Linked DNA regions of Macaca fascicularis. The protein of the gene in region 1 interacts with the protein of each later gene in a pairwise test. Links are inferred from orthologs where the notes say so. Each region holds a gene or a part of one and is shown in the gene's direction. Other genes may lie near its edges.

Evidence for each region. The genes of interacting proteins can lie anywhere in the genome.
Region 2: the proteins of SORBS3 (region 1) and TBC1D22B interact in binary tests that used the Homo sapiens proteins (3 or more experiments, as listed by UniProt). The link is inferred for Macaca fascicularis from reciprocal best matches to the Homo sapiens genes SORBS3 and TBC1D22B.

The regions. Positions count from the first base shown.
Region 1 is NC_088382.1:25,656,394-25,660,041, forward strand, and holds part of SORBS3 (vinexin), read left to right. Parts: exon of another isoform or gene 1-133; intron 134-464; coding exon 465-555; intron 556-760; coding exon 761-847; intron 848-945; coding exon 946-999; intron 1,000-1,284; exon of another isoform or gene 1,285-1,501; coding exon of another isoform or gene 1,502-1,549; intron 1,550-1,742; coding exon 1,743-1,829; intron 1,830-2,299; coding exon 2,300-2,346; intron 2,347-2,817; coding exon 2,818-2,957; intron 2,958-3,143; coding exon 3,144-3,196; intron 3,197-3,305; coding exon 3,306-3,352; intron 3,353-3,518; exon of another isoform or gene 3,519-3,538; coding exon 3,539-3,648. UniProt on the Homo sapiens protein: Vinexin alpha isoform promotes up-regulation of actin stress fiber formation. Vinexin beta isoform plays a role in cell spreading and enhances the activation of JNK/SAPK in response to EGF stimulation by using its third SH3 domain.
Region 2 is NC_088378.1:134,372,149-134,375,796, reverse strand, and holds part of TBC1D22B (TBC1 domain family member 22B), read left to right. Parts: coding exon 1-113; intron 114-630; coding exon 631-701; intron 702-2,088; coding exon 2,089-2,217; intron 2,218-3,648. UniProt on the Homo sapiens protein: May act as a GTPase-activating protein for Rab family protein(s).

The DNA.
Region 1 (3,648 bases):
CACTCAGCCACAGCACCCAGAAAGACCAGCTTCTTCAAAGCTGAACAGATGCACATAGCCACAGTCATGGGGCCAGACCAAACACACGTGCAGGATTTAGCAAAATGGCCCGCAGGAGAGGGTCGGGCCACACCTGGAGCAAATATATGTGTGAGGCCTTCTCCCGGGCACCTCACACATGTTCTGTCACCAAATCATTTCTATATTACAGGTTCTGAGCCTGAGGCTCTGAGGGATCAGTAACTTGTTCAAAGGTCACACATCCACTAAACAATGGAGCTAGAATTTAAGCTTGGAGCTCACACACTTCCACAGTTTAGCCTTGCTTCCAGAGTAAGGGCAGGGCAGTCAGAGGCAGAGCAGACCCCACAGCAGGGACAAGGGCAGGGCGAGAGGGCTGTGTGCTGGCTTCTGCCTCAGTCTCCCTAAAAGGAAGCTGAAGAGATGTCCTTCCCTTTCTTCAGAAGAAGCTGGGACCACTCTGAAGAGTTACCTAGAAGCACCTTCAGCTACAGACCTGGAGCGTTCTCCACTGTGCTGCAGCCCCCAAATCAGGTAGCCCACCCAGCGTGTTCCCTGGTCAGCCCCGGCTGTATGCTGTATGGCCAAGCCCCTGTGCCACGATGTCCTTTCAGCTGGCATTCCTTGGAGGACACCGTGGGCCCACGGGAAGGGCAGGGGCCTGCAAGCCTGCATTTTGAGCCTGGCCAGTGTCCCAGTAGCCCTCTTCACAAGCTGACGCCCACCCACCTCCACGCAGGTGCCCAGACGCCGAGAAAAAGGAGACAATGTCTGGACAGAAGAGTCGTGGAACCAGTTTCTGCAGGAACTAGAGACTGGGCAGAGGGTGAGTGCTGGCTGGCTCTCGGGGTGTGCACGCACCCTCAGCTGATACATTTTGGAAAGTGAGCTCACCTGCTCTGACACACCCTTTCTACCCTTCAGCCCAAGAAACCGCTGGTGGACGACCCTGGTGAGAAGCCCTCCCAGCCCATTGAGGTGAGTGCTGCAGGGTGCTGGGGACAGCAGCCTGATAAACCAGGGAGATTAGGGTTTTCCCCGCCCCAGTGACCATGGGCATAGGCCACCAACTAAGAGCTCTCTCTCCAGTCCCACATGGTTTATTTCTGTAACGCCAGCACTCGGGACAGTGGCTGGCATACAGGAGGCGCTCAGTAAACATGCGTTAAATAAATGTGTTGGCCAAAGCAGGAGCAGAGAAGGGAGTGGTCAGTGTGCACTGGGATTATCAGGAAGTATTCTTGGAGGTGGAGCTGGACCCTTGAGAAGCTCTGAGGGCCTGATCCGGCGGAGACCCATAGCAGAGGCTGGCAGGAAGCAGCGTGAGGGTGGGGGCGCCAGTCCCTGGGGTGGCGGGGGAACCTGGATGGGCACAGCGAAGCCAGGCCTTGGAGGGCGGGAGAAGATGGGAGAGGAAATGGGGAGCCCCACTGGTGCTGGAAGAGTGACATAACTTGGCAGAAACTGGTAGAGCTGCGGAATGGCGGGATCAGGAAGCGCGAAGGCACTCCGGGGGCTTGCAGGGCAGGTGAGAGGCCGCGGCGGGGATGCCCTCTTGGCACCCCGGGCCACACCTCCCGGCAGGAGCCCGGCCCGTGCGCTGAGGCCTGTCCTTACGCCGGCCCAGTGCGCCGGCCTGGCTTCTCACAGCCGACCTTTGACCGCTGCCCCCACCCCCACCGTGCGCTGCCCCTCACTGCCCAGCCTCTCCCCGCCCCCAGGTGCTGCTGGAGAGAGAGTTGGCCAAGCTGAGTGCCGAGCTGGACAAGGACCTACGGGCAATTGAGACCCGACTGCCGTCCCCCAAGGTGCCAGCCCCTTGGGTTCACCCGCGGGGCACGCCGTTGACCGCACGGTCGGGGCGGGCCGGGAGCCTTGGCGGCTGGGCTGGGCGAAGGACGGGCAGACGAGGTCAGGCCTCCGGCGGCGCGCACAGGCCTCGGGCCCTCCTGGGCGCTGGCGGGCTCGCTCCTCCATAAATAAAATACAGGGCGTCGACTTTCGCAAGTGACCCCGAGGAGCCTTTCTAAGCGGACTCCACGTCAGCCCGACGCCCGGGCTCCCGCCCCGTCCCGCCCCCGGGCCGCAGCCTCGGGGACCCCCGCCCCTTCCCCTAGTTCCCGCCCCGCTCCGGGATCGGCCGCGCGGGCGCCTCTAGGACCCCGCGTCCCGCCCGCTCTCCTCCCCTCCCGAGCCGCGAACTTTTCCGGAGGCGGCGGCCTCGACTGCCGCTGGGTCCCGGGGTCGCGGGCCCTGATTGCGCCGTCTCCCCGCACAGAGCTCGCCTGCGCCCCGGCGGGCCCCGGAGCAGCGGCCCCCGGCCGGGTGAGTGGGAGACGCGGGAGGAGGAAGGGGGCTGTCCCGGGCCGGCGGGAGGGAACGTGGCGCGGCCGGGCGGGGCGGACGGGGCGATCGCGGGGCCTAGTCAGGGGAGGAGGGAACCGCAGAGCCCAGTGTCCGGGAGGGACCGCAGCGCCACTCTCTGCGGGATGCCGTCCCCGCGTCACCGAGGGCAGCTAACCCCGAGCGGAGGGCGAGGGTCGCGGCCGCCGGGGACGCGGCGCGGTTGGGGCGGCCCCGCCACGGCCCAGGCACTCCCGCTGGGCCCTGCCGGGCCTCACCCTTCCCGGCGCAGCGACTCGGGAAGTTGGACATCCTGTGGAGAGCCCAGGACCCGGGAGACGCCCTGGGAGGAGGCGGCAGGGATAGGGGCGATGGGGGTCAGAGCGGTCTAGGGGTGACCAAGGTGGGACGCGGAGCCCCAGGCTGGAGGCTCAGTCTCTGTGCCCCGTGCAGCCCGGCCTCAGCCTGGAGCTTCAGCTCTCCGAATGCACCTTACCTGGGTTCCGCCCGGTCCCTGAGCCCCCGCAGAATGGCTGATGGAGGAAGCCCCTTTCTAGGTCGGAGGGACTTTGTCTACCCTTCCTCAACCCGAGGTAAGGACCCAGCCGTGCTCTGTTTCTCACGGAGATGCCCACCCACCAGGCATGCTGGTGCCCCAGGGGTGGCAGGTCACAGAGCCCCTTGCTTCTGCCAGTGCCTGCCCTAGGTGGGGGTGCAACCCCATTCCAACCCCATCCGCCAGGTTGGCCTCCCCAAACTGAGGTTGTGCTTCTCCACAGACCCTAGTGCCTCTGACGGAGGGATCAGCCCAGCCAGGAGGGAAGAGAAGAAGGTAAGGAGGGGACCAGGGTGTGGGGGACCTGGAGTGGTCCCAAGGCTACCATCCTGGATCTGCCACCCGCCCGACTGAGGTAGCCCACTCTGTCCTCTCCCCTGCCTAGAGGAAGGCCGCCAGGCTCAAGTTTGACTTCCAGGCGCAGTCTCCCAAGTAAGTGCCCTCCTCCCCCTCCCCTTCCACCCGAGGCAGTCTCTGCCATCCCAGAGCGGGATGGGGAGGGGGACTGGGCTGCAGTGGGCATCCCTAATTGGTGAGAGGAATAAGGTGTACTGGGGAGGGTCTGAGGGGAAGGAGGCTTGGGAGGGCCTCAGCTTACCATGCGGTCCTCGCCTGCAGGGAGCTGACTCTGCAGAAGGGTGACATTGTCTACATCCACAAGGAGGTGGACAAGAACTGGCTGGAGGGAGAGCACCATGGCCGCCTAGGCATCTTCCCTGCTAATTATG
Region 2 (3,648 bases), on another chromosome or scaffold:
CGTTGCCCGGATCTCGGATCAGAACGCCTCTGGGGCCCCCCCAATGACTGTCCGGGAGAAAACCCGCCTAGAAAAATTCCGTCAGCTTCTCTCCAGCCACAACACTGACTTAGGTGAGTCCCTGTGAGCCCAGGCAAGGTAGGAGCTTTTGGTGACTGGAATTCTCAGAGACCTGGAAGCTACTGCTCTTTATTCTTCCTTCTTTTACTTTTCTAGCTTCTCCTGACCTGGTGCCCATTGCAGTGACATGCAGGTATTAAGTCAGACATATGTTACTAGAGATTATGGACCAAATTAGGTGGGACTGGTTTCTGTGACCTGTAGACCCTAGTGCAACTATTCTGACTTTGATCTCCTCTATCTCATGGTGACTCTTGCTGAAATCTACACCCACTGGTCTTTCTCTTCCCCTCTAACTTTCATCTCTGAGCTGACAGGACTGCTACTGCAAGGCCATGTCCTTGGCACTTGGCTGCTCAGGGCTGTTTTGGGCTTTTCCCTGTGCTTATGGGTAGCAAGTGGTGGTGGTGGTCTTACATGAATGGAAGGAGACATCAGGCAGTGCTGGTTGCGGTTTGCTTTAGAGCATTTGTGGAGAGTTCACCTAACAAGGCTGTTTTCTGTTTACAGATGAACTGAGGAAGTGTAGCTGGCCAGGGGTTCCCAGGGAGGTTCGACCTGTAACCTGGAGACTCCTGTCGGTGAGTTCTACCTACTGTGTAGAGAAGTGTGAGCCTCACACAGCCCTTCTTGCCTGATGAGGTTAGTCTGGACACATTGGTCTTAACTCCATAGACTTCTCTAGTCCTACTGGATATGACAGAACTATGGGACTGTAGTCCTATTTCTGTGCATAAAGAAACACTTTCTTGAGAGTTTATTCACACACATGTAGAGGTACACAGACTTGTACCAATAGTCATGGTCTCACGTTATTAACAGCGAGGAAGAAGAATAGAGTGAGTGAGATAGGGTGACCCCAGCACTTGCTTTGAGCAAGCTCAAACATTCCCTGTGCTTTACTCCTGTTTCAGTTGGAGTAACCAAAAGTTGAAACCCACTTTGATCTGTAAAGAGTTGATAAATGGGCCTCCCTTGGAAGCCTTACTAGTCCTGCTTTCACCAAGTACAGAGCACTGTGCCAGCCGCTACGATAGGAACACTTGGGTTTCCTGAGCCTGTAAAATTCATTCATTCATCTAGTGAGGATTGATTGAGGGTCTGCTGTTTGCCAGGCATAGTGCCAGATGCTCTGAGCAGATACAAAAATGAATAAACCACAGTCCCTGCTCTCCAGGCACTCACTGTGGAATGCATTACATAAATGTTTTCAAGAAGAAGGGTCTGTCTCCTGACTGCTCGCCCCACCTCTACTCTTGCAACCATGTAATCATTGCCTCTGCCACTTCTAATCAGTTTGAATGCTATTCAGAGTAGATTTGGTGAGAACGGAAGGGGAACAGAAAATATAAGAATGAAAGTGGGATCTAGACCAAGGATAAGAATGAAAGTTGGCCTGGAGCTTTGGCTAGGCTGGGGGCTGCTGCCAGAAGTTCTGTCTGAGTGTTGTAGCTGTTATGTCACGGATTCCATTCAGCTGCTTCCTAAGCTGGTAATTCTGAAAGTTACACTGGAAAAGAATGTAACTGGCACCAACTTACTTGGCACACTGCTGAGATGTGCTGTAGAGGTTGCTATATCCCTGCATTTCTCAGAAGTATGGCCCTGGACACACGCAGCCCTCCAAGGCCATGACTTGGGTCCAGCTCCCTCCCACTGACCTACATTCACTCCTGTACTGTGCCAGCTCTGGGAGCTGAGGAGTGCTCACCAGTGGCTCAAGCTTCAGCACAGTACAGGGCCAAGGGAGTAAATAATCCTGGGAAAGCTGGCCTTGCTTCATCTGCTCACATGTGGATCTCATTCAATGAGAAGAGGGCAAAAAATGGGTGGCCAGAACCAAGAAGGGATTTACCCTTGGCAGTTTTCCTTCTTGATAGTTTCCAAACCACTGCATAGATTAAAATAAAAATTAAGGATTTATCCAACCATTGTCTTTCCCTATCTGACCAGCAGTCTTGTCTATAGGGCTATCTCCCAGCAAACACTGAGAGGAGAAAGTTGACCCTGCAGCGGAAGCGGGAGGAATATTTTGGCTTCATTGAACAGTATTATGACTCTCGAAATGAGGAACATCACCAGGATACCTACAGACAGGTATAGTCATCACCTGCTGCCTCTTTGCTTACCAGTCATACACTTTAGGTGTGTCTCATGGTAGTGCTCTCAGGGTACAGGCTTTCCAAGTCCTCAGGCTGTGGTATGTTGGTTAGGAGTTAAATTTATCCTCAAAACTGTTTCCCCTCTTTTCATTCAGCAGCTCTGATTTTAGCCATTTTAAATAGACAGACTTTTTTGGCACTAGTCAGTGCGGTGCTTCTCAAACTTTAATGTACATACAAATCACCTAGGATTTTGATACGATCTCACCTAGAGATTATGAGAAAATGCAGATTCTGATTTAGCGGGTCTCGGGTAAAACCTGAAGTTCTAATGTGCTTCCTTGCAATGCTGCTGCTGCTGGTCCACCAACCACGCTATGAGTAGTAAGAGTTATCGAGTATGGAGAGGAAAGACAAGCTCACTTAGCAGTGGTCCAGTCCCTCTGGACTATGACATCCGTATGTCTTCCTGGCAGCTGCAGTGCTGTTTCGGCCTCTGTGACTGTCTGTAGGAGCTGTAGCTATCAGTAGTCTTGTCAGGGAGTCTTCCGTCTGCCCATAATGGTCCTCATGGTCTGCAGAAAGGTCTGCTCCCAACATCACACATGGAGGGAGGAGAAGAGTAGGCCAGGGGTTGCAGAAAGTGAAAGGTGGGCAGCTATCTACAACAAGCCTCAAGAACTGAAGTAGCCTCTGCTGCTGCTGCTGACACATTCTTTTGCATAGCTAGACTGGGCATTGGGAAATCCCCGAATTGAAATGGACATAGTGACGTCTTAGGTAACAGAAGTAAGAACTTTCAGCTTCAGTTACTGAAGGCCAACTGCTTTTGGTCCTTCCCCACTTTTTTTTTTTTGAGATGGAGTCTTGCTTTGTGGTCCGGGCTGGAGTGCAGTGGCGTGATCTTGGCTTACTGCAGCCTCCGCCTCCTGGGTTCAAGTGATTCTCCTGCCTCTCAGCTTCCCGAGTAGCTAGGATTATAGGCATGCGCCACCAGGCCCGGCTAATATTTTGTTTATTTTTTTTGAGACGGAGTCTTGTTTTGTCACCTAGGCTGGAGTGCAGTGGTGCAATCTCGGCTCACACCAGTCTCTGTCACCCAGGTTCCACCAATTCTCCTGCCTCAGCCTCCTGGGTAGCTGGGATTACAGGCGCACACCACCATACCCAGCTAATTTTTGTAATTTTAGTAGAGACAGGGTTTTGCCATGTTGGCCAGGCTGGTCTCGAACTCCTGACCTCAGGTGATCCACCCACCTCAGCCTCCCAAAGTGCTGGGATTACAGGTGTGAGCCACCGCACCCAGCCCTAATTTGTGTATTTTTAGTGCAGATGGGGTTTCATCATGTTGGCCAGGCTGGTCTCAAACTCCTGACCTCAAGTGATCCACCCGCCTCGGCCTCCCAAAGTGCTGGGATTACAGACG